2 linked regions of the Macaca fascicularis genome follow. The protein of the gene in region 1 purifies or fractionates together with the protein of each later gene. This does not show direct contact. Links are inferred from orthologs where the notes say so. Each region holds a gene or a part of one and is shown in the gene's direction. Other genes may lie near its edges. The genes, in order: ECD and ZNHIT2.

The links.
Region 2: the proteins of ECD (region 1) and ZNHIT2 purify together in Homo sapiens (affinity purification with mass spectrometry; 3 studies listed by BioGRID and IntAct, counting the BioPlex papers as one, with this or other methods). This does not show direct contact. The link is inferred for Macaca fascicularis from reciprocal best matches to the Homo sapiens genes ECD and ZNHIT2.

Annotation. Positions count from the first base shown.
Region 1 is NC_088383.1:73,217,056-73,229,534, forward strand, and holds part of ECD (protein ecdysoneless homolog), read left to right. Parts: intron 1-1,511; 5' UTR 1,512-1,840; coding exon 1,841-2,111; intron 2,112-5,302; coding exon 5,303-5,420; intron 5,421-9,182; coding exon 9,183-9,270; intron 9,271-9,384; coding exon 9,385-9,563; intron 9,564-11,394; coding exon 11,395-11,587; intron 11,588-12,479. UniProt on the Homo sapiens protein: Regulator of p53/TP53 stability and function. Inhibits MDM2-mediated degradation of p53/TP53 possibly by cooperating in part with TXNIP. May be involved transcriptional regulation. In vitro has intrinsic transactivation activity enhanced by EP300.
Region 2 is NC_088388.1:9,247,422-9,259,577, forward strand, and holds ZNHIT2 (zinc finger HIT domain-containing protein 2), read left to right. Parts: upstream 1-6,178; 5' UTR 6,179-6,246; coding exon 6,247-7,461; 3' UTR 7,462-7,500; downstream 7,501-12,156. Other genes in the region: MRPL49 (large ribosomal subunit protein mL49), read right to left, coding at 1,269-1,346; FAU (ubiquitin-like FUBI-ribosomal protein eS30 fusion protein), read left to right, coding at 1,889-1,963, 2,058-2,202, 2,666-2,721, 2,899-3,024; delta(14)-sterol reductase TM7SF2, read right to left, coding at 7,851-8,011, 8,306-8,428, 8,509-8,589, 8,824-8,992, 9,073-9,192, 10,349-10,452, 10,530-10,724, 11,081-11,135 and 2 more. UniProt on the Homo sapiens protein: May act as a bridging factor mediating the interaction between the R2TP/Prefoldin-like (R2TP/PFDL) complex and U5 small nuclear ribonucleoprotein (U5 snRNP).

The DNA of each region.
Region 1 (12,479 bases):
AGTTCAGATGAGAGCACGTCCTAGCTACAAAAAAAATTTTTTTAATAAAAATAACTAAAAGAGTATAATTAGATTGTTTGTAACACAAAGGATAAATGCTTAAGGCGATGGATATCTCATTTACCTTGAGGTGCTTATAATGCATTTTATACCTGTATCAAAATATCTCATGTACCCCACAAATACATACACCTACTATGTACTCTTCAAAATTAAAAAAGAAAAAAAAAAAACAGCACTGTGGGAGGCCGAGGCAGGCGGATCACAAGGTCAGGAGTTCGAGACCAGCCTGGCCAATATGGTAAAACCCCATTCCTACTAAAAATACAAAAATTAGCCTGGCGTGGTAGCAGGCACCTACAGTCCCAGCTACTCGGGAGGCTGGGGCAAGAGAATCGCTTGAACCTGGGAGGCAGAGGTTGCAGTGAGCTGAGATCTCACCACTGCACTCCAGCCTGGGTGACAGAGCGAGACTCCATCTCAGGAAAAAAAAAAAAAAAACAGAAAAGAAAGATATACCTACCATCCCATGAGACTTGAAAAAGGGGCAAATTTAGGACAGAGGTAAGATGACAGGACACGAATGTTTTGTAGTTCTCTACACCATACAATGTTCATAAAAGAGAGAAATGTACATTCTGCAGAGCAAGATAGATTATGCTTTAGAGTTTAAGTAACAAAATTTTAAAGCAGGGAGAGATTTTAGAGATGGTAGATAACTTATCCTAAATTAAAGAAAAAAACCCAGAAAGAGAAAGTGAAGTGTCCACAGTGGCACAGCTAATTAGTGGCAGAACTGGGGTTTTTGATATAGTATGTAAACAGTGGATATTAGTGCAGTGTTTCTCGAAATATGTTACACATACCACTGCTAGTACAAGGGCAAACATTAAAAATTTCATTCTTTACTTCCAAAATAGGAAAAATATAAAAAAGATTTTATTCTTACATACGTATTAATTGGGGAATGTGATACTGGATTTCTATTCACTGTATTATATCAAGGTTTCCTTGTAACGTAATTTTAAAGATAAAGTTTTAAGTGTAAAGTGTCACTAAAAATAATATTAGGCCAGGTGCAGTGGCTCATGCCTGTAATCCCAGCACTTTGGGAGACCAAGGCGGAAGAACTGCTTGAGCTCAGGAGTTCTAGACCAGCCTGGGCAACATGGCAAAACCTTGCTTCTACTGAAAATACACAAAAAAATTAGCTGGGCATGGTGGCACACACCTGTGGTCCCAGCTACTTGGGAGGCTGAGGTAGGAGGATGGCTTGAGCCTAAGAGGTGGAGGTTGCAGTGAGCTGTGATCATGCCACTGCACTCCAGCCTGGGCAACAAGAGTGAAACTCCAACTCAAATAAATAAATAAATGAAGTTTAAAACATTAAATAAATATTACTGTAGGTGGTGTGTGGTCAAGGCAAAAACCATGATGATGGTATGTGGCTAACTAAATTTTATTTATTATTTATTTATTTATTTATTTATTTATTTATTTATTTATTTTAGATGGAGTCTTGCTCTGTCACCCAAGCTGGAGTGCAATGGCATGATCTCGGCTCATTGCAACCTCTGCTTCCTAGGTTCAAGTGATTCTCCTGCTTTAGCCTCCTGAGTAGCTAGGATCACAGGTGCCTGCCGCCACACCCAGCTAATTTTTGTATTTTTAGTAGAGACGAGGTTTCACCGTGTCAACCAGGCTGGTCTGAAACTCCTGACCTCCAATGATCTGCCTGCCTCAGCCTCCCAAAGTGCTAGGATTACATGCATGAACCACTGTGCCCGGCCTAACTAAATTTTAGAAAACAGTGTTCATAGAGTCATCTAAAAGAGTTCAGATGTTACTTCTGCATTGTTCTATGTGGTTTATATTTTGGAACTTTAAATGTAGTTTTCAAAGAAGAATGGAAGAAACCATGAAGCTTGCTACAATGGAAGACACAGTGGAGTACTGCCTGTTCCTGATACCAGATGAATCAAGGGACTCAGATAAACACGAAGAGGTTCTTCAGAAGTATATTGAGAGAATAATGACTCGGTTTGCACCTATGCTGGTCCCCTACATCTGGCAGAATCAGCCTTTCAATCTCAAATATAAACCTGGGAAAGGTAAGGCTCTTTTACTTGTGTGGATTAGTGTGACTTTTAATGTTATCCTGACAACAGTGATGTGTATGTGTAATAGTCCACACTTCATTCAGTGTTGGCAGGAAGAGATTAATGCACTAAACTTTTTAGGTAAGTAATACTTGTCTATAATCAGTTAGCCATAAAGCTTTGTTTTTAAAAAAAATCATATTAATGAAAACTTTCTAAATCTGCCTTAGGAATTAGCATATACTAAACATTATTAAACTCATGGCTATTCTTTTGAACTTTAGTTGCTATACTATGCATAATGTATCTAAGTATCTATACTAAACAGTTTCAGGTATCTGGCTTTAATTATGGTTCCTTTTTTGCTGTTACTCAGTATTCCTTATGTTGATGTGTTGAGTAGGCTGCCTTGTTTCATATAGCCATTTTGGGGAGGATCTGAGTGGCTCTGCCCGGCTTATAAAGATAAATAATTGGGCTTTATGGCTAATATTTGCCACTTATAAGCATTTTGAGGTTTCTTCATTGCTTCCCTGTGTTGTTGGTGCTTGAGATCTGACCTCTGGCAAAATACGGCACTCTGTCCTGTTATGAGAAAAACCCAGAATTAAAGTAGGAGGGAGCGGAGAGACCAAAGAATCACTCGAACAGGTCTGTCTTAGCAAGTAGATGAGTTTATTAGGACTTACAGACAGGACACTCCTGGGCAGCATCAGGACAGCTCCAGAAATCTGCCCCACCTCCCATCTTTAAGCTGCTTGTAAGCTAATTTTTTGGCTCTTTGCCTACTGCGTATATGCAATGACACTGTTTTCCTTGGTATGTTCCCAGCTATGCCCTGCAATGTTTGGGTTCTCAGGACCTGCTCCTCTGCTGGGCATGATGGCTTTGGCTTGCCAGCTGGCCTTCGAAGTTTAAGCAGCAGACATATACCCTTAAGTAGCCTGGTGGGGAACTGGTCACACTACAGTTATGTCATTTCTTATAGTTTTATGAAAATAAATCATGGATAGGTGACCAAGTCTCTCTTTACACAGTGACTTATGTGAGGTCTTATTTAGGATCAGGAGCCTGGCATCTTGTGATACCATCACAAGATACCCCCATGTATACATCACAAGTATACATCACTGTGATACTCTCAGTTTAGTGCTTATCTCTTATCTTTTGGCTAGCAATTGCTACATATCTTCCCTACTGTTAATTTTATTGAACTCTTATTCATTGACATACATATGATATTTATTGACAAGAACACTGTCACATTGGTGCAGCACATCTAAAACCAACCCTTTCTCTGTCTCTAGAAAACCATTTTTACTGTTTTCTTATCTTGTTTAATGGCATTGCCATCCACCCAGTTATCCAAGCTAGTCAGTAATTCAAAATCATAATCAGTTCCTCACTTCACCATGTTCAGTCAGATGCTAAATCCTGAATGCTTCTAAAATATGACCCCTTCTCTACATCTATTTGGCTTCAATGTAGGCCCTCTTTATCTCTACATTTAAAAAACAACAACAGCCTCCTAACTTACCTCTCTGGTTCCTGTCTTTCTAGTTCCTCACACTGTTGCCAATTACGTTTGTAAAACAAACTTGATTGTGTCACTCTCCTGCTTAATATCCTTCAGTAGTTCCCATTGCTTCAAGATGAAATTTAAATCGAAGTCTAATATAGACAAAAACAGTTACTTTAATTGTATTCTCTAGTTGAAGAAACTTGAGATCTGGGGTGGGGAGAAGAAGAGTTGGTTGGGCTGTTCTTCTACCTATTGTTTGCCATGGCAACTCTTGAGACACTCTGTAATGCACTTGTTTGACCTTCATTCTGTTAATGTGGGATATTACTGTACATTGATTTTCATGTGTTGAACCATCCTTGCATCTCAGGAATAAATCCTACTTGGTCATGGTGAATAATCTATTTAATGTGCTGTTGAATTCAGATTGCTGATATTTTGTTAAGAATTTCTGCATTGATATTCATCAAGGATATTGATCTACAGTTTTCTTATATTGTCTTTGTCTGGCTTTGGTGTTAGGGTAATGCTGGCCTCAGAAGGGATTTGGGAATTCCCTCCCCTTTATTTTTTTTGGAAGATTTTGAGGATTGATGTCAAATTCTTTAAATGTTTGGAAGAGGTCCGCAGTGAAGCCAGCTTTTCTTTGTTAGGAGCTTTTGGATTATTGATTCAATCTCCTTACTAGTTATAGATCTGTTCAGATTTTTGTATTTCTCATGATCCAGTCTTGACAGGTTGTGTATTTTTAGGAACTTGTCGATTTCTTCTACATTATCCAACTTACTGGTATACCATTGTTCATAGAATTATATCTTTCTTGTTTCTATGACATAAGTTGTACTGTCTCCTCTTTGATTTCTGATTTTAGTTTTTTGAGTATTTGCTCTTATTCCTGGTTAATCAAGTTAATAGTTTGTCAATCTTTTCAAAAAAACCCAACTCAGTTGTTTTGTTTTTCTGTTATTTTTTCTGGTCTCTATTTTATTTATCTCTACTGTAATGTTTATTATTTTCCGTATGCTAGGTTTGGGTTTAGTTTTTATTTTTTGTTTTGTTTTGGTTTTTTTGAGGTATAGGTTGTTGATTTGAGGTCTTTCACACCTACAAACTTCCTTTTTAGCACTGCTTTCACTGAATTCCTTAAAGTTTTGGTATGATGTGCATTCATTTTCATTCGTCCCAAGATATTTTCTAATTTCCCTGTGCTTTATTCCAAGAGTGTGTTGTTTAGTTTCCATGTATTTGTGAATAGTGCACATGTTTGAAAACTTGTGCTCCATCCAAATCTAGCGTCGTGGTATTCCCAGAATACTCTATACATACATACTTTGTACAGCATGCCTTTGTGCCTTTGTACATGCTTTTCTATTTTTCTGGAAAGCTCACCTCTTGTCATTCCTCCAGGCAAGCATAGCACAGATATCCCCTCCTTTATACTCACATAGGCCTTACTGCATACCCCTGTTCTAGAGTTCATTATCTTGTTTTGAGATCATTTGGTTGTCTTGTTTTACCCTGAGCTCCTCAGGAGTAGGCTTCTTCTTCAGGAGTGCAACCCCTGCTCCCTAGTACTTAGAGCAATCAGTCAATGAATGTTTATTCAGTTGAATGATTATGTGCATTTTATTTGCAGTAACAAATTTATCTGTTTACATGGTTGCTTTTCTCTTGTTTTTAGGAAGTGTTCCTGCTCATATGTTTGGCGTGACAAAGTTTGGGGATAATATTGAGGATGAATGGTTTATTGTTTATGTAATAAAGCAGATCACAAAGGAATTTCCAGAGTTAGTAGCAAGGTATTGTAGTTATTTTAATTATTCTAAAAGAATTCTATTACTGAAACAGTGTGACTACATTTTTATATATTTAGTAATTTATTTTTCTCCTGTAGTCTGCTGGAAATTGTACAGATTTGAAAAGTATCTGTGCTTTTTTTTTTTTTCTGAGACAGAGTCTTGCTCTGTCGCCCAGGCTAGAGTGCAGTGGTGTGATCTTGGCTCACTGCAGCCTCCACCTTCCGGGTTCAAGCGATTCTCCTGCCTCAGCCTCTCAAGTAGCTGGGATTACAGGCGCGTGCCACCATGCCTGGCTAATTTTGTGTTTTTAGTACAGACAAGGTTTTACCATGTTGGCCGGGCTGGTCTTAAACTCCTGACCTCAGGTGATCAACCCACCTCGGCCTCCCAAAGTGCTGGGATTACAGGCATAAGCCACCATGCCCAGCCTTATCTGTATTTTCTTTCTCTTCTCTTGTGACTTCCTTTTCTTGAGAAAGAATTAAGGTAGTATCAAAGAGTTCAACTTCCAAAAGATTTCAAATAAAACCTACTTATTTTAGGTTTTCTTTTTAAAATTCTAATTATGAAAAAACAAATACATGTGGTAAACAAAATTCAGATGATACAAAGGGTTCTACTGCTCTGCTTCCCAGAAGTAATCACCATTAAATTCCTTATGAATCTTTGAAAAATAAAATTCCATTCATACACATACATACATAGTTCACATATTTTTAAATGTGTATTCCTGTACTAGACCATAGCTATATTTTTTGAGAACTCATACACAGAAACAATTTAAAGAGAAGTCAGTGAACAATCGTATAGGAAGCTAAGTAGGTAACACCGTTAAAAATGGGACCCGAGTTTTCTGTAATTACCACGTATTGCCAGCAGAGGGCGTTCCGCCCACTTATATTTTATCCTAGTTTTCCTAGTCAGCACCCAAATTCTGATCTTTTTTTACCCAACCAACCTCTTTCCCAACAGAACAAAAAAGAGGGGGGAAAAAAAAACCTTTGAAAACTTAGTATTTAAATTTTAAGTATACATTAAAGTAGAGAGAATGAACCCACATGTTCCCATTATCCAGCTTCAACAATTACCAACTCATGGTCATCATTATTTGATCTGTGGCTGTCATTTGATCCTTAAATACTTCAGGATGTAAATCTAAGTGATAACTCATTTTATCTTTATCTTTAAATACATTTATTTAAAATTTTAAAATTTTTAAGTTTACTTATTATTTATTTAGTTTTTTAAAGACAGGGTCTCACTGTTTTGCCTGGGCTGGACTTGAACTCCTGGGCTCAAGCCATCCTCCTGCTTCAGTCGCCCGAGTAGCTGGTACTACAGGCACATGCCACTGTGCTTTATTTTATTTCATTTTATTTTATTTTTTTGAGACAGCGTCTCACTCTGTTGCCCATACTGGACTGCAGTGGAACAATCTCGGCTCACTGCAACCTCTGCCTCCTGGGCTCAAGCGATTCTCATACCTCATCCTCCTGAGTAGCTGGGGCTATAGGCGTGCACTACCACACCTGGCTAATTTTTGTATTTTTTGTAGAGACAAGTTTTCACCATGTTGACCAGGCTGGTCTCAACCTCCTGACCTCAAGTGATCCACCCGCCTCAGCCTCCCAAAGTGCTGGGATTACAAGTGTGAACCACTGCATGAAGGCTATTTTTAAAATTGACAAATAAAAATTGTGTATATTTATTATGTATAACATGTTGTCTTGAAATACATATATATTGGCCGGGCACGGTGCCTCACACCTGTAATCCCAGCACTTTGGGAGGCCGAGGCGGGAGGATCACGAGGTCAGGAGATCGAGACCATCCTGGCTAACAACAACAAAAAAAAATACAAAAAACTAGCCGGGCGAGGTGGCGGGCGCCTGTAGTCCCAGCTACTCGGGAGGCTGAGGCAGGAGAATGGCATAAACCCGGGAGGCGGAGCTTGCAGTGAGCTGAGATCTGGCCACTGCACTCCAGCCTGGGCAACAGAGCGAGACTCCCGTCTCAAAAAAAAAAAAGAAATATATATATATATTGTAGGATGGCTGAATTGAGCTCATAACATACATTACTTCACATACTTATTGTTTTGTGTATGGTGAGAACATTTAAAATCTACTGCCTTAGCAAGTTTCAAGAACACAATACATTGTAGGCCTGGGGCGGTGGCTCACGCCTGTAATCCCAACACTTTGGGAGGTTGAAGCAGAAGCATCACATGAGATCAGAAGTTCCAGACGAGCCTGGCCAACATGGTGAAACCCCATCTCTACTAAAAATACAAAAAATTAGCCAGGTGTGGTGGCCCATACCTGTGGTCCCAGCAACTCGGGAGGCTGAGGCAGGGGAATCGCTTGAGCCCAGGAAGTAGAGGTTGCAGTGAGTGTGATTGCACCACTAATTCCAGCCTGGACGACAGGGTGAGACTCTGTCTCAAAAATAAAATAAAATAATAAAAATAGAAGTATAGAGCTAGAACGGTATATAACAGTATAGAAAATATGCTATGTCTTGTGTAAAACAGGGAGAAAATATAAATATATATTTATATAGCTAGATTATGTGTAAGCAAACTCTAGAAGGATATACAAGAAACAGCAGTGATGCGTGTAGGGTTGAGCAGATAGGGACAAAAGTAGGAGGAAAACTTTTTCATTTTGCAACTTTTTTTTTTTTTTTTTTTTTTTTAGACGGAGTTTTGCTCTTGTTGCCCAGGCTGGAGTGCAATGGTGCGATGTTGGCTCACCGCAACCTCCGCCTCCCAGGTTCAAGCAATTCTCCTGCCTCAGCCTCCCGAGTAAGTGAGATTACAGGCATGCGCCACCATGCCTGGCTGATTTTTTTTCGTATTTTTAGTAGAGACGGGATTTCTTCATGTTGGTCAAGCTGGTCTTGAACTCCTGACCTTAGGTGATCCGCCCACCTTGGCCTCCCAAAGTGCTGGGATTACAGGCGTGAGCCACCATGCCTGGCCATGTAAATTTTAATATATTTTTAAAAAAATTTAACCATATGAATGTATAACCTATTTTTAAAAGTAAAATTTTAAAAAGTGTTGCAGGCTGGGCATGGTGGCTCACACCTGTAACCCCAGCACTTTGGGAGGCTGAGGCGAGCGGATCACTTGAGGTCAGGAGTTTGAGACCAGCCTGGGCAACATGGCAAAACCCTGTCTCTACTAAAAATACAAAAATTAGCTGGGCATGGTGGTGGGCACTTGTAATCCCAGCTATTCGGGAGGCTGCGGGAGGCTAAGGCAGGAGAATCGCCTGAACACAGGAGGTGGAGGTTGCAGTGAGCCGAGATCACACCACTGCACTCTAGCCTGGGTGACAGAGCGAGACTCCGTCTCAAAAATAAGAAAAAAAGTAATGCAAATGAGTCAGAAATAATTATCTTTTCAGGCCCAAATAACACCTCCTACATGAAGGCTTTTCTAATCTCAGCTATATTTTTTTTTGCTTTTGGAACCCTATAGTACTTTGTATATTTTCATATTTTTGTCTAATATTTCTTTATGTAAATTGCTTATCTTCTCTCCTTATCTCTACCTTCAACTCCTCCTTACAATCTTATTGTCTCCTTCAGTGCTTAATGTTATCTTAAACATTTTGCTTTCTTATAGCCATCTGCACATAGTACCTATTCAAATATTTACTAAGATGAAGAGGAAAATGTATTAGAATAAAACTGTTCTGGTTACTAGCAGATATGTGCTTTTTGAATGCAAAATTGGAAATTTTCTTGCATTAGGATTGAAGACAATGATGGTGAATTCTTGTTAATAGAAGCTGCTGACTTTCTCCCTAAATGGTTGGATCCTGATAATAGCACCAATAGGGTAAGTATATACAAGTTTAGAAAATTTGTAGAGATGAAATCATGCTGCATTACAGTCATATGTACCTACAGTTTGCCAGTGCCCACTATGAAAATTAAAATGTACCATTTGCAGGTATTTTTCCACCATGGAGAATTGTGTATTATTCCTGCACCAAGAAAACCTGGAGCGGAATCTTGGTTACCCACCACACCCCCAACAATTCCACAAGCATTGAATATAATCGCAGCACATCCAGAAAAAATACTTGCTTCAGAATCTATACGAGCTGCTGTGAGTAGGCGCATCAGAGGGTAAGAAAAATATCACTTACATTGCTAATTAAGGAACCTTTTGGTTTCGTGTAGTTCAGTCTTTCTTTGATTTTTGCTTGTTTTCCTTAAAGCTCTGTTGGAGTTGATCAGTCTTTCTTTGACTGTAAAATATCTTTCACCTAGATTAATGCTAATTTTCATTTTGTCTTCATTCTTCTTTATGGAATAGACTAATACATTAAACTTAGAGATTTTAAACGGGGGCAATAGATACATCTTTAAATTCCCATTCAGAAGTGTTACAATCTTGTCCCAATATTTTTGCATTTATACACCTTAGATATTGTGGCTAAGTATTAGCTATATCCATGGGTAAAAAATTTGAGACCTTTAAAAATAGAAACTTCCTGGACCTGGAGCGGTGGCTCACGCCTGTAATCCCAGCACTTTGGGAGGCTAAGTGGAGGGCAGATCATGAGATCAGGAGTTCAAGACCAGCCTGGCCAACATAATGAAATCCCATCTCTACTAAAAATACAAAAAAAAAAAGGCGGGACGTGATAGCAGGTTCCTGTAATCCCAGCTACTTTGGAGGCTGAGGCAAAGAGAATCGCTTGAACTCGGGAGGCGGAGGTTGCAGTGAGCTAAGATCGCACCACTAGACTCCGTCTCAAAAAAAAAAATAAATAAATAAAAAGTAGAAACCTAATGGAGCCCAAACAAGGTGCTCAGGTTTTTTCTGTTGTTTTGGGTCTATGTATGGGATTCTTTGACCTATGTCAGAATTCTTTGACCTATGTCAGCTTTATTTAAAGCTGAAGTTTTATTCAGAAAAGAAAGTCTTAGCTTAATAACATATTAGTTCATCCATTCAAATTTGGGTGCCTATTAAATAGTAAGCACCGTTCAGGTATTAACAATACTAAAAATCTTTTTGGCCGGGTGCAGTGGCTCACGCCTGTAATCCCACCACTTTGGGAGGCCAAGGTGGGTGGATCACGAGGTCAAGAGATCGAGACCATCCTGGCCAACATGGTGAAACGCCATCTCTACTAAAAATACAAAAAATTAGCCGGGCATGGTGGCAGGCCCCTGTAGTCCCAGCTACTGGAGAGGCTGAGGCAAGAGAATCACTTGAACCCAGGAGGTGGAGGTTGCAGGGAGGCGGAGGTTGCAGTGAGCCGAGGTTGCACCACTGCATTCCAGCCTGGCGACAGAGTAAGACTCTGTCTCAAAAATAATAATAAATAAAAAATAAAAATCTCTTTTAGCTTCAGCATACTTTGCACCATTATTTTAGAAAAATAAACTCTGATTTTATGTTTATTCCAAAGTATAATTGGTTTTTTTGTTTTGTTTTGTTTTGTTTTGCTTTTGGGGTGGAATTTTGCTCTTGTCACCCAGGCTGGAGTGCAGTGGTGTGATCTCGGCTCACTGCAACCTCCGCCTCCCGGGTTCACGCAATTCTCCTGCGTCAGCCTCCTGAGTAGCTGGGACTACAGGCATGTCCCACCACACCCAGCCAATTTTTTATATTTTTAGTAGAGACGGGGTTTCACCATGTTAGCCAGGATGGTCTCAATCTCTTGACCTAGTGATCCACCCGCCTCGGCCTCCCAAAGTTGTTTTGTTTTTATTGAGCTACCATAATCCCTTTTCTTTATTTTCCATTTCTTCCTACTTTTTTCTTTCCCTCTCTTCTTTCTTATAGTATTAAGTGTATATACAGTATCTTTTTTCATCTCTCTTGTCACTCTCTACATACTGCTCTCGATGAACAAAGAGAAGATGTCAAAAAGAATGTGAATGGTATAAGAATTCTAGGTATTTATATACTGTAAAATGAAAGTAATTATGTTACCTGTCCCAGGTACCCAGAAAAAATTCAGGTCTCCCTTCATCGAGCACACTGCTTCCTTCCAGCTGGCATTGTGGCAGTGCTAAAGCAGCGCCCCAGATTGGTGTCTGCAGCAGTCCAGGCATTTTACCTACGAGACCCTATTGACCTGCGAGCCTGTCGTGTTTTCAAGACATTCTTGCCTGAAACACGAATAATGACATCGGTAAGATTTCTATCTTGGTCATTTAGTTTCTCTTACTGGAAACAGAGTTGAAACATTATTATTTTTCTCTTTTTACATTTCTCAGTGCTCAGTGAATGAAACATTACTTTAATTGTTCTCTAGAAAGAAAAAGGAAATATTCTGTTTCTTCATAGCGTGTTAATATAGGTTGAATATTCCTTATCTGAAATGCTTGGGACCAGAAGTATTTCGGATTTCAGATTTATTTGGATTTTGGAATATTTGCATTATACTTACTAGTTGAGCATTCCAAATCTGAAAATTCTGAAATCTCAAAACTTTGAGCATATCATTGGGACTCAAAAAGTTTTGGATTTTGGAACATTTTAGATTTCAGATATTTACATTTGGGATGCTCAAACTATACACATTTTTTTCTTTTCTTGCACCCAGTGAAGGAAATTTTCAAGAGACCTGCCTCCCCATTTTATACTCAATGTTTCATAGCTATTTTTGACCATATTTTTCTATTTCTGTAATTATTTCCTTTTTTTTTTTTTTTTTTTTTTTTGAGACAGAGTCTCACTTTCTCACCCAGGATGGAATGTAGTAGAGCAATCTTAGCTTACTGCAACCTCTGCTTCCTGGGCTCAAGTGATTCTCCTGCCTTCTGAGTAGCTGGGATTACAGGCACCTCCCAACACGCCCAGCTGATTTTTATATTTTTAGTAGAGACAGTGTTTACCATGTTGGCCAGGCTGGTCTCGAACTCCTGACCTCAAGTGATTCAGCCATCTCAGCCTCCCAAAGTGCTGGGGTTACAGGCATGAGCCACTATGCCCGGCCTAATTATTTCCTTCTTGACAATAAAACATTTCATCTCTTCCAGGGAATTAAGAATTATTCTTGGCCAGGCATGGTGGCTCACACC
Region 2 (12,156 bases), on another chromosome or scaffold:
ACTGCAACCTCCGCCTCCCAAGTTCAAGTTAAGTCTCCTGCCTCAGCCTCCCAAGTAGCTGGGACTACAGGCACACGCCATCACACCCGGCTAATTTTTGTATTTTTTGTAGAGACGGGTTTCACCATGTTGGCCAGGCTAGTCTCAAACTCCTGACTCCAGGTGATCTATCCGCCTTGGCCTCCCAAAGTGCTGGGATTACAGGCGTGAGCCACCGTGCCTGGCCCATTTTTCCGTTAAAAACCTTTGTCTTCTTTTACCTCCCTGATAAGCACATAGTATACACCCATTTCAGAATAAATATCATTTTCTTTTAGAGTCCGTTATTTAAGTTGACATAAGATAGCACCAGTCTTTGGTTTTCCATGGTGCAGGGTACAGACGGGATGGAAAGGAGGCTCAGATACTCTGAATGGTCTACCTCTCTTAGGATTTCGGTGGGATTCAAAAGAGTATGTGTAGACTTCTGAAAAGTCAATCAAGTCTTTAGAAACTTAAGGCTTAACTTTCTGCCTCGGTTTTAGGAATAGATATTATTATTACATTGGCAGCGTAACCTTGTTTGTACCTTCATGATTGCCTGGCTGGCCTTGCTCACCTAATCACATCTGTGATTGGATATAGTGGTGTTTAATCTTATGATTGCCTTAACAATTAAGGCAATCAGCCGGGCGCGGTGGCTCACGCCTGTAATCCCAGCACTTCGGGAGGCCGAGGCGGGCGGATCGCGAGGTCAGGAGATCGAGACCATCCTGGCTAACACGGTGAAACCCATCTCTACTAAAAATACAAAAAAATTAGCCTAGCGTGGTGGCGGGCGCCTGTAGTCCCAGCTACTCAGGAGGTTGAGGCAGGAGGATGGCGTGAACCCGGGAGGCGGAGCTGGCAGTAAGCCGAGATCGCGCCACTGCACTCCAGCCTGCGCAACAGAACGAGACTCTGTCTCAAAAAAAAAAAAAAGAAAAAAAGAATTAAGGCAATCATAATTCCCTACGCACACTCATGCTAGGATCCCGCCCCTTATCTGAAACGTTTTGGCTTACATAGACACTGCCAGGCACTGTGTTAAGTGCTCCCAAAGAGCACCGCAGTCTACCACTTTCTCTCTCGTTTCTGTATCTACACTCGATCGGGAGACAAGCTCTTCCGATCGAAAACGACAAAACTAAGGCCCCAAGTAGGAATGCCTTAGTTTTCGGGGTTAACAATGATTAACACTGAGCCTCACACCCACGCGATGCCCTCAGCTCCTCGCTCAGCGCTCTCACCAACAGCCGTAGCCCGCAGCCCCGCTGGACACCGGTTCTCCATCCCCGAAGCGCAGCCCGGAACATGGTAACGGCCATCTTGACCTCGTACGCCAGCCGTCTGTGCACGCAACGGTCTGGTTCCGCCCCCTCCTGCGCGCGCTGCCTGCCCCTGGCAGGCTCGCCTGTGCGAGCGTAAAGGGGCGGAGCTAGGGTCGCCTTGGGCGGTACAAATATCAGAGACCCGCGCGGTCGCTCAGTAGTGACGTGATACGCAGCTCGCGGTCAGTACAGACGCGCCCTCGCTTCTTCCTCTTTCTCGACTCCATCTTCGCGGTAGCGGCAGCTGGGACCGCGGTTCAGGTAAGAATAGGGCCTTGGCTGGATCCGAAGGGCTTGTAGCAGATTGGCTGCGGGATCAGAGGGCGCGGGGGAAACTGAAGAACCAGGCCGGCTCTGTGGCCCTGCTCCAGTCCCTATCCGAATTCTTCGGGAGGCCTGGCCTTCCCCACGTGAGCCGCCGCGACCACCTCCATCCCATCGCTATCGTTTCTGGACCACTTTCCATTCCCAAACCTCCTTTATCCCAGAGCATTTCTTCGCTTCTCTTACAAGCCGTATTTCTTTACTCAGTCGTCAACATGCAGCTTTTTGTCCGCGCCCAGGAGCTACACACCCTCGAGGTGACCGGCCAGGAAACGGTCGCCCAAATCAAGGTAAGGCTGCTTGGTGCGCCCTGGGTTCCATTTTCTTGTGCTCTTCACCCTCGCGGCCCGAGGGAACACTTACGAGCCTTATCTTTCCCTGTAGGCTCATGTAGCTTCACTGGAGGGCATTGCCTCGGAAGATCAAGTCGTGCTCCTGGCAGGCACCCCCTTGGAGGATGAGGCCACTCTGGGCCAGTGCGGGGTGGAGGCCCTGACTACCCTGGAAGTAGCAGGCCGCATGCTTGGAGGTGAGTGAGAGAAGAATGTTTTTTGAACTACTGGTAAGCGTCTAGTGGGTAGGGGGTGCATAGTCCTGGCAGCTGAGTGTCACACCTATGGTAATAGAGTACTTCTCACTGCCCTCAGTTCAGAGTGATTCTTCCTGTTTACATCCCTCATGTTGAACACAGACGTCCATGGGAGACTGAGCCAGAGTGTAGTTGTGTTTCAGTCACATCACGAGATCCGAGTCTGGTTATCAGCTTCCCCACTAAAATTAGGTCAGACCGGGGCCCCCAAAGTGCTCTAGAAAGTTAGAAGCTGGAAAATCCTGAAATGAAACTTAAGATTTCAAGGTCAGATATCTGCAGCTTTGTTCTCATTACCTGTTGGGCCCAGCTTCTCTTTAAAGGCTTGAATTGAGGAAAGAGGGGTTCTGCTGGGTGGCACCTTCTTGCTCTTACCTGCTGGTTCCTTCCTTTCCCATTACAGGTAAAGTCCATGGTTCCCTGGCCCGTGCTGGGAAAGTGAGAGGTCAGACTCCTAAGGTGAGTGAGAGTATTAGTGGTCATGGTGTTTGGACTTTGTCTTTTCCTGTCACAGCTAAATCAAGTCCCTGGGTTCTTACCCGGTTTGCCTTCTCCCTCCCTGGAGATGAGCCTGAGGGAAAGGATGCTAGGTGTGGAAGACAGAAACCAGGGCCTGATTAACCCTCCCTTCTTCAGGTGGCCAAACAGGAGAAGAAGAAGAAGAAGACCGGTCGGGCTAAGCGCCGGATGCAGTACAACCGGCGCTTTGTCAACGTTGTGCCCACCTTTGGCAAGAAGAAGGGCCCCAATGCCAATTCTTAAGTCCTTTGTAATTGCGGCTTTCTCTAATAAAAAAGCCACTTAGTTCAGTCATCGCATTGCTTCATCTTTATTTGCAAGGCCTTGGGGAGAGGTTGGTGCTGTGTCCCCTGTAAGAACAGTGAGGCAGAAAAGCCGTTGGTATAGGGGAAGAAATGGTAAACTGCAAGAGGAATTTTCTGTGAAGAAACAGTAGCCACAGATCCTGGGGCTTCAGGTGTAGAATTGGAGTTATTCCCTATCCTAAGTAACTTGATCAGTCCCCTCAAGTCATTCTTTTTCATCTTCTAAACAGAGAAGGTAGCAGGAATCATTGTGGTGAGACGTTTGTTATGGAGGCAGCAGTGGGAGGGATGGGTGGGGGAAGAGGTTTGTATAGAAGGTGAACCTGGTCATTCCCTGAACTTGATACCAGCTGTGGCCTTAGAGTCCAGGGCAGGAATCTGGTCTGCCTCGGTTTTAGAAATAAATATTACGTTGGGTGCATGGTCTCGTTTGTACCTCTATGATTGCCTGGCTAGACTTGGTAACCTAATCACATCTGTGATTGGATATAGTGATGTTTTGGTGTTCCCAAAAGTTGGATTATCTCTGGGGCTGATTCAGGGTTGCCTTCTAGCAACTGAGCCTCCCAGCACTTCTGAACCCCACTTACTCATTCAGCTAAAGTTTCTGGACCTGCCAGTTCTTGGGAAATAGCATCCAACAGGGTAAAACCCTTGGGCTGTGGACTTTGAATGCCTGAGTTTGGACCTTTTTTTTCCTAATCCATTTACTGGGTGGCTGGCCTTTGAACTAACTACTAATTTAATCTCTGCCATCTCCAGAGCTGCTGTGAAGGTTAAAGGATGTAGTGTGTGAATCTTGGCTATTTTCGTCTCGTGGTGTTAAAGACATGCTTTCTGCTTTCTAGCAGTTTAGAAAGGGGGAGGATGTGGACAGATACAATAGCATCCCAGAGAGGGCCTCTTTTTTGTTTTTCTTTTTTCTTTATCTTTTATTGAGACGGAGTCTCCAACCTCCTGGGTTCGCACCATTCTTCTGCCTCAGCCCCCAGAGTAGCTGGGACTACAGGCATGTGCCACCACGCTTAGCTAATTTTTTGTATTTTTAGTAGAGATGGGTTTTCCCTATGTTGGCCGGGATGGTCTCGATCTCTTGACATTGTGATCACCCGCCTTGGCCTCCCAAAGTGCTGGGATTACAGGTGTGAGCCACAGCACCCGGCCTTTTTTCTTTTTGAGTCAAGGTCTCTCATCCAGGCTGGAGTGCAGTCGCATAGTCATGGCTCACTGCAGCCTCCAAGTCCTGGGCCCAGGTGATCCTACTCAGCCTCCCAAGTAGCTGAGGACTGCAGGCATGCACCACCACTCCTGGCTAAGTTTTTGTACTTCTTGCAGAGACGGGGTTTTGTTGCTGTGTTGCCCAGGCTGGTCTTGAACTGGGCTCAAGTGATCCGCCCACCTTGGCCTCCCAAAGTACTGAGAGTACAGGTGTCAGCCACTGTGCCCAACTGAGAGGTCGTGTTTAAATGACATGTGTGAGACCTGAGATGAATAAATCAAGTGATCAGGTAGGGGAATATTTTAAGCCAAGAGGACTGTATGAAGATGGGGAAGAGGTGATGTCTAGGGGTGGGAGCAGATCCTGCAAGGCCTTGTCAGCCATGGAGAGAAGTTTGGGTTTGAGTCCAAGTGCAATGGAGGGTCGCAGAAGGGTTTTGAGTAAGAGAAGGATCTGATCTGACTTGTGATCTAATTTATCTGGCAGGTTTTTCTGGAGGGCTGGCAAGAAAGGAAAAACACAATGTGTTGTCATCCACGTGAGGGGTCAGGAAGCTTAGACCACCAGTAGTAGTAGTAGGGATGCAAAGAACACTCACAGTTTGGTTCATCACACCTCCACTCCACCATAAGACTGAGCTCTGTTAGAACAGGGACCCCCAACTCCCTTTGATGTGCATTGTGTTCTTGGCACCTAGAATGGGGCCTGCACTTAATGAGATGGATGAATAGTGGTATTTAATAAGATACTTAATGAAGAGTCAGTTTTGGAGGAAAAATAGGAGCTCAAATATTTCTTTTTTTTTTTTTTTTTTTTTTTTTTTTTGAGACGGAGTCTCGCTCTGTCACCCAGGCTGGAGTGCAGTGGCCGGATCTCAGCTCACTGCAAGCTCCTCCTCTCGGGTTCACGCCATTCTCCTGCCTCAGCCTCCCAAGTAGCTGGGACTACAGGCACCCGCCACTTCGCCCGGCTAGTTTTTTGTATTTTTTAGTAGAGACGGGGTTTCACCGTATTAGCCAGGATGGTCTCCATCTCCTGACCTCATGATCCGCCCATCTCGGCCTCCCAAAGTGCTGGGATTACAGGCTTGAGCCACCGCGCCCGGCCTCAAATATTTCTTAAATACTGCTTTTTATTTGTTTTTTTGAGGTGGAGTTCCTCTCTGTGGCCCAGGCTCCCAGGCTGGAGGGCGGTGGCGCGATCTCAGCTCACTGCAACCTCCACCTCCTGGGTTCAAATGATTCTCCTGCCTCAGCCTCCGGAGTAGCTGGGACTACAGGCACCCGTCCCTCACGCCCGGCTAATTTTGTATTAGTAGAGATGGGGTTTCTCCATGTTGGTCAGGCCGTGGTCAAACTTCTGACCTCAGGTCATCTGCCCGCCTTGGCCTCCCAAAGTGCTGGGATTATCGGCGTGAGAGCCACCGCACCCGATCCCAACTGCCCTTTTATTCGTCTGTGTCCTCTAGTGCATTTTATTTGTCTGTGTACAGCGCAGGGATGCATCGCCTTTCTGAGGCTTGGCACAATTAGTGGCCCAGGGTAGGTGTTTAGTAAAAGTGGATTTCTGCCACAGCGCATTATAGAGCTAAAGAGAGAGGGTTTTCTCTTTAGATGATCGGGCCACGTTTTGGTGTGACCGCTAGGGGGAGAGGTGGCACCGGCGGAGCGCTCGCCAGACCCATTTTTCCGCTCCTTGCGTCATCGCACAGGGCGGGGCTCGTACCTGACGCCCGGCGTCTGGGCCTGCTCTCACCCTACTAGGGAAAGGGGTGGGGCTCGGCTTTCCGGCGTGGGCGGAAATTGCTCAGAATCCTCGGGAGCTTTGCGAAACGACAGACCGTCGTCGACCCCGCGGTGAGCCGGAAGTAATTGAATAAGCCCCGGAAGTTTGGAACTATCGCCGGCGTGCGTTCGCAGGTAGATCGCGGTGCCGGTTGCTATGGAGCCGGTCGGGCCTTGTGGTTTCTGCCCGGCGGGGGAGGCCCAGCCCGCGCGTTACACCTGCCCTCGCTGTAATGCGCCCTATTGCTCGCTGCGCTGCTACCGGACGCATGGCACCTGCGCAGAAAACTTCTACCGTGACCAGGTGCTGGGAGAGCTCCGCGGCCGCAGCGCCTCGCCCAGCCGCCTGGCAAGCGCCCTACGCCGGCTGCGTCAGCAACGCGATACCGAGGACGAGCCTGGGGAAACAGGCCTTAGCCCCGGCCCGGCGCCCGGCGGCCTCTCGGGACTGTGGGAGCGGCTGGCGCCGGCCGAAAAAACTGCCTTCGAGCGGCTGCTGAGCCGTGGTGAGGCCGGGCGGCTGCTTCCTCCATGGCGGCCGTGGTGGTGGAAGCGCGGAGCCGGACCGTGGCGGCTTCTGGAGGAGCTGGATGATGTCCCGGGCAGTGATGCCGCGGGGCTGGAGCCCGCCCTTGCGAGGACCCCGCCGGAATCTATGAACGATGCCTTCGCCGCGGAGCTCGCGGCTGCCGAGCTGGTTCTTGGAGATGTCCCGGGGGCCTGCACGCCCGCCATACCCACCCGCATCCCCACGCTGGTCAGCCTGAGCCGCGGCCCAGTCTCGCCGCTCGTGCGCTTCCAGCTGCCCAATGTGCTGTTCGCCTACGCGCATACTCTCGCCCTGTATCACGGCGGTGACGACGCACTGCTCTCTGACTTCTGTGCTACACTGCTCGGCGTTTCCGGAGCCCTGGGTGCCCAGCAAGTCTTCGCCTCTGCGGAAGAAGCCCTGCAGGCCGCAGCCCACGTGCTGGAAGCAGGCGAACACCCGCCTGGGCCCCTGGGCACACGAGGGGCTATGCACGAGGTCGCTCGCATCCTGCTGGGTGAGGGCCCGACCAACCAGAAAGGCTACACGCTGGCAGCACTGGGAGACCTGGCAAAGACCCTGGGCCGTGCCCGGAAACAGGCTGTGCTTAGAGAAGAGCGAGATCATCTTTACCGGGCCCGGAAAAAGTGCCAATTCCTCCTGGCCTGGACCAATGAAAATGAGGCGGCCCTCACACCCCTGGCTCTAGATTGCGCCAGGGCTCACCAAGCCCATGCTGTGGCAGCCGAGGAGGTGGCCGCCCTCACTGGGGAGCTGGAGCGGCTTTGGGGAGGCCCCGTGCCACCTGCCCCAAGGACTCTCATTGAGGAGCTCCCTGGCTGAACTGGGGACCCTGGTCATTAATAAAGCTGTGAGTGGTCAGCCCTGTTGCCTGTTTCTGAAGGATAGTTATTGTCCTACCAGGCCCCCAGAGTCCTGGGCCCACAAGCCACTGCTCAGCTTCTCCCTGATCAGTGCTGACCCAGCCAGTCCTAGGGGAGAGAAGTGCACCAATGGTTCCCAATGTTTATCCAAAGGAGGAAGAGCATCTCCGATTTTGGTCACTGGTTTCATTTTTTTCCTTGCTCTAAACCACCTCTTCTCTGAGGCTGTTCATCCTCAGGGCTGGGTGGGGTACAAGCCCTTGAGTCCCAAGTGTGTCCAGGCTCCTGGTCTTGGGTGTGCTGGTGGATGAGTGGGCATATGTCCCCACCTGGGGTGGTGGAGCCGCTTCAGTAGATGTAGGGCACGATGCGGTAAGGCACACGCCGGCAGTACTCCTGCCATGCCAGGCCATACTTCTGCAGGCACTGCCGCTCATCCCGGGCCTCACGGTGCACCAGCAGCGCGGTGAAGTAGAGGAGGTAGAAGTAGGGCAGCAGGTGTGACACCCCTGTAGAGAAGGAGGCTCTGTGACCACCCTGCCAGCCCCCTCCACCCCCCAGTTCGCAAACATTTCCACACCTAATGGCTCATGTGGGCATCAGGGCTCAGCAGCAAAAGCTCCAGGGTCTGCATCTAGGCATACCGTACTAGGTTGGCACAGAGGTGTGCCCCAGCCACACACTGGGTCCATCCCAGCTCTCTGACTACTCTCACTGGTGCATACCCAAAGTAGGCATCCTGTGGTCGCTGAGCCACCCCTTCCCCTCATATGTTCCTGCCCCTATCCACATGGGCCACTCACCACAGGGCAAGGACCAAGCCAGAGCCATGATGAGGTCTCCAAGGTAGTTGGGATGGCGGACCATACCCCACCACCCAGACACCAGCAGTTTCCGCCCTGTGGCTGTAGAGATGGTCTCAAGCCCTGGAGAAAGATAGCAGGTGGGGAGTTCCCAGGAAACCCAGCGGCCCCACCTCACCCATGGCCCTAGAGACCCAGCTCACCAGCCACTCTGGGGTCAGAAGGATTCTTTCGGAAAGTGTTTTTCTGGGAATTCGCCCCACGGAAGATGTAGTAACCAATAGCTGGTGAGAGAGTGTGAAAAAGTGGTCAGGGTCAAGGGTTGCAGCCTCCTGCCTGACCCTGACCATCTGCCCAATCTGTCTGCAGCCCAGACTCTGCCTGGACACCCAGGACCCCACCCCTGGCTTTAGAGAGGACCCTGGCAGTTAGCACCTATGTGGTGTGCATGTAAACAGAGCATGAATGAAAAGGAGAGGGGAAAGATGGGCCCAGCCTGCTGCCCCTTCCTGACTGACCATTGATGAGGCAGATGGCGGAAGCCATGGGCAACCCCAGGGGCTGCGGGTGGCGCAGCAGGAACTGGGCTTGCAGGCTGTAGGTGAAGGGCACCCAGGCTATGTCCCCAAATGCCAGCATGAAGCCAAACCCGTCATGTGTGATATCCATGGTGGTGAGGATGGCCTCCTGCAAGGACAAGACCCAGACACACTGGCTTAGTCCCCATGCGGCCCTCAGATACCCACCCTTGTCCAGTCCAGCCTCACCTCATGCCAGAGGGCATCACCCACATAGAGTAACTGGAAGCCATTAACCAGCCACATGGCCAGTGAGGGACTGCCCCGAAGTTCTGCCTCCTTCACCAACAGGGCCAGGTTGATGAGGACCTGGGGGAGGGGGAACAGGGCAATCGTCTCCACAGAGGTGGCAGCCCTGGGCAGAGCAGTGGCTAACCTCTGCCCTTCTCAGCTGTCAGTTACACTCCAACCCTGTGTTAAGTGGATCCAGGCCTTGGACCCAAGGACAGAGACTTAGACAGGGAGGTGTCCGCAGCTTGTTGTTTCTTGCCTTGAGTGTCCTAAGCTCTTGCAGAGAGCAGCCCTGGGAGCAGTTGGGGGCTGAGGCTTCAGAGCTCAAACAGACCTGGTTTCAAATCTCAGCATCACCTGGGCAGGTTGCTTGCCCTCTCCATAGCCTACTTTCCCCACCCCTGTGTGAAAAATGGGAATAATCATGGGCCTGTCGTGACTCAATGGCATCATCGTGTTTGAAGTCCTCCACAGCGTCCCTAGCAAGTGGTACGTGCTCAGTGGTGGCTAGCCAGAGCAACCCTGTGCTGGGTGCCTGCATTTTACCCTGAGCTCTGTTCTGTCATACAGATTACCTCTTCTAATCTTCCCAGTAATCTTAGGAGAAAGCTTTAATTTTATCCCATTTCACAGATGAGAAAGTGGCCTCAGAAAGTGTTGTCAGGCCAGGGCCCAGATCCAGGGTGGGCACTTGGCACTCCTGCCTGGGGTAAGATAATTTCCAAGGCAACAGGAGAGGCCTTGCCCAAGAGTCTCTTTGGGTCATCTTGGCCACAGAACCAGAGATCACAGTTGGAATGTTGTCAAGGCCACCAGTGACGGGTAGGTTGCTAAACCCAGTGATCAATTTCAGGTTGTGCACTGCTTTGACCACCAAGCAGCATGCGGTCACTCCCTGGAAATAGATTTTGTGCTTGACTGCTGTTGAGAATTGCACGTGCTCTCCTGATGTTATCCCTGACATGCTATATATACTTTACTTATTTTTTGTCAGTCTTTCCCACCAGAATGTAGGCTCTCTGCGGCAAAGATGTTTTTCTTGCCTCTAACTTTATTTTTGTCTCCCAGTACCTAGAGCAGTGCCTAGGGCACAGGTGGATTTAACAAATGTTTGTGGAATAGGAATGATTAATGATTCGTGTCTGCACAGTTTTGGCCCTGCCCTGCCCAAGCGCTGCTCACCCACCCTAACCCTCCCCCTGGCCTTAGGCCAGCTCAGTCAAGCCCAACATACCCAGCCGATGAGGCCAGGTCGCAGTTCACAGAAATATTTGAAGTCGAAGAAACAGATACGAGGGTTGAGCTCCCGTCCCAGAAAAAAGTCGTAAATCGGATTGCCTGGAGAATATTGGAGAGTGAATGTACAGGCAGACGCCCCGATCTGCCTCCATCTCCACCCCTAGAACCCCTCTCACCTGAGATCCCCCCAGGTGCCAGGGCCGAAACTGGGGCTACCTGCGCCTTCATGTAGAGAAAGAGGCTGAAGATGAAAGCGGTGAGGGTGGCGACAAACGCCAAAGGCAGGAGCATTTCCGGGAGCGCCCCCAGAGGCAGCCCCGCTGACACCCCCAGCCCCACCAACAGGGCTGTCAGCACCAGGGCCTGGAAGCCTAAACCACAGCACACAGTGAGCCCTGGGGCTGCACGCCTCCACATCCCCACCCTGCGAACACACACAGAGCCCAAAACTCAGGGGGGCCGCAGACCCTGCCCCAAGCATTAGGCTGCCACCCTGGCCTTCAGAGGATCACCCCAGCCACTGCTGTGGTGCACAGTGTAGCAGTAAATGGGGTAAGGGTGTGGGGACGAGGGGCTTAGGGCGAGCCCCCGGCGTCTGTCCTAGGGCTCACAAAGAGGCATACAAAGGAGCCTGGGGTGGGGGCCAATCTCCGTGGACCTCCCCGCTAGGGCTGGAGCTCCACCCCCGGCCGCTTAACTCCAGCGCGAGGGCCCGTCCCCCAGGCACCGTTAATCGGATAGCGCAGGCGACTCTTGTCCTTCAATTCCTGCCCCTCAGCCACCTGCGGGTCCAAGGGGGCTCTGATAAGGCCCGGGGCGTCCTCTCCCTCGCCGAGCCCCTCCGACTCCCTCCCCCGAGCGTGCGCGAGCGGCGCCCGCACCTTGCGCGCCGGCAGTAGGTAGAGCGCCGCCTGCAGGCCGAGCCAGGCGAGCCACAGCAGCAGCGCCCGTGGGCTCCACAGCGCCTCCAGCCCAGGCAGGGACGCGGGTGGACCCAGCAGGCGCGCGGGGCCCGAACGGGCCGCCAGGAGCAGGTGGAACATGGTGGCGGGCAGCAGCAGCAGCAGAGCCGCGGCGCCTGCGGGATGGGCCATCACATCGGGCGTCCGCCCCCAGCGCCCCAGCTCCCGCCCCGTCCCCCACGGGCGCTGACGTCTCTGCGGGACCCTTTCGGCATTCCCAGAGTGTGCCTCTGCACCCCTCCTCAGCCCTCAGGCACCCCGCTGCCTCCCAGTTCCCTTCCCAGGCGTCCATCTTGGTCCCCCGCTCCCCCCTCGAAGACCCTCCTCCTGCTCCCAGTCGACACCATAAATCCCCGTTCTGCAGCCCCCAGAACTGACCCCTGCTCAGCTCTCCCTCTCCAGACACCTTCGCTGCAAACCCCCGGGTCCCTCTGCCTCGGACACCCGCAAAACCTTCCATCCTCAGATCCTGTCTCCGCTCTTAGTTCACCCCCTCCAGCTCTCCTTCGCTCAGCCTTTGCCCCAGGTCCCTTCTCGCTGCCCCATTACCCAGGGGCCCTCCGAATTCCAGCGGGGCCCGGGGGCCCTCAGGAGGGGCCATGGTCTCCGCTCCGCCGGAGAGAGGGCGCTCACAATAGTCGGTCAAGGAAACACAGTCCGCCCCATTTCCCAGGAGATGGACTTGTCCGCGCGGAGGATCCGGCCCCGCGGCGCCTGCACCTGCCTGGACACCGAGTGCAGACAAGGACCGCTCTTGTCCCAGGGTTTTTTAATGGACCCGCCCCCTGCCCATCCTGGGCCCAGCACACCAGCCAATCGGCACTCAGGGGCGGACCCGACG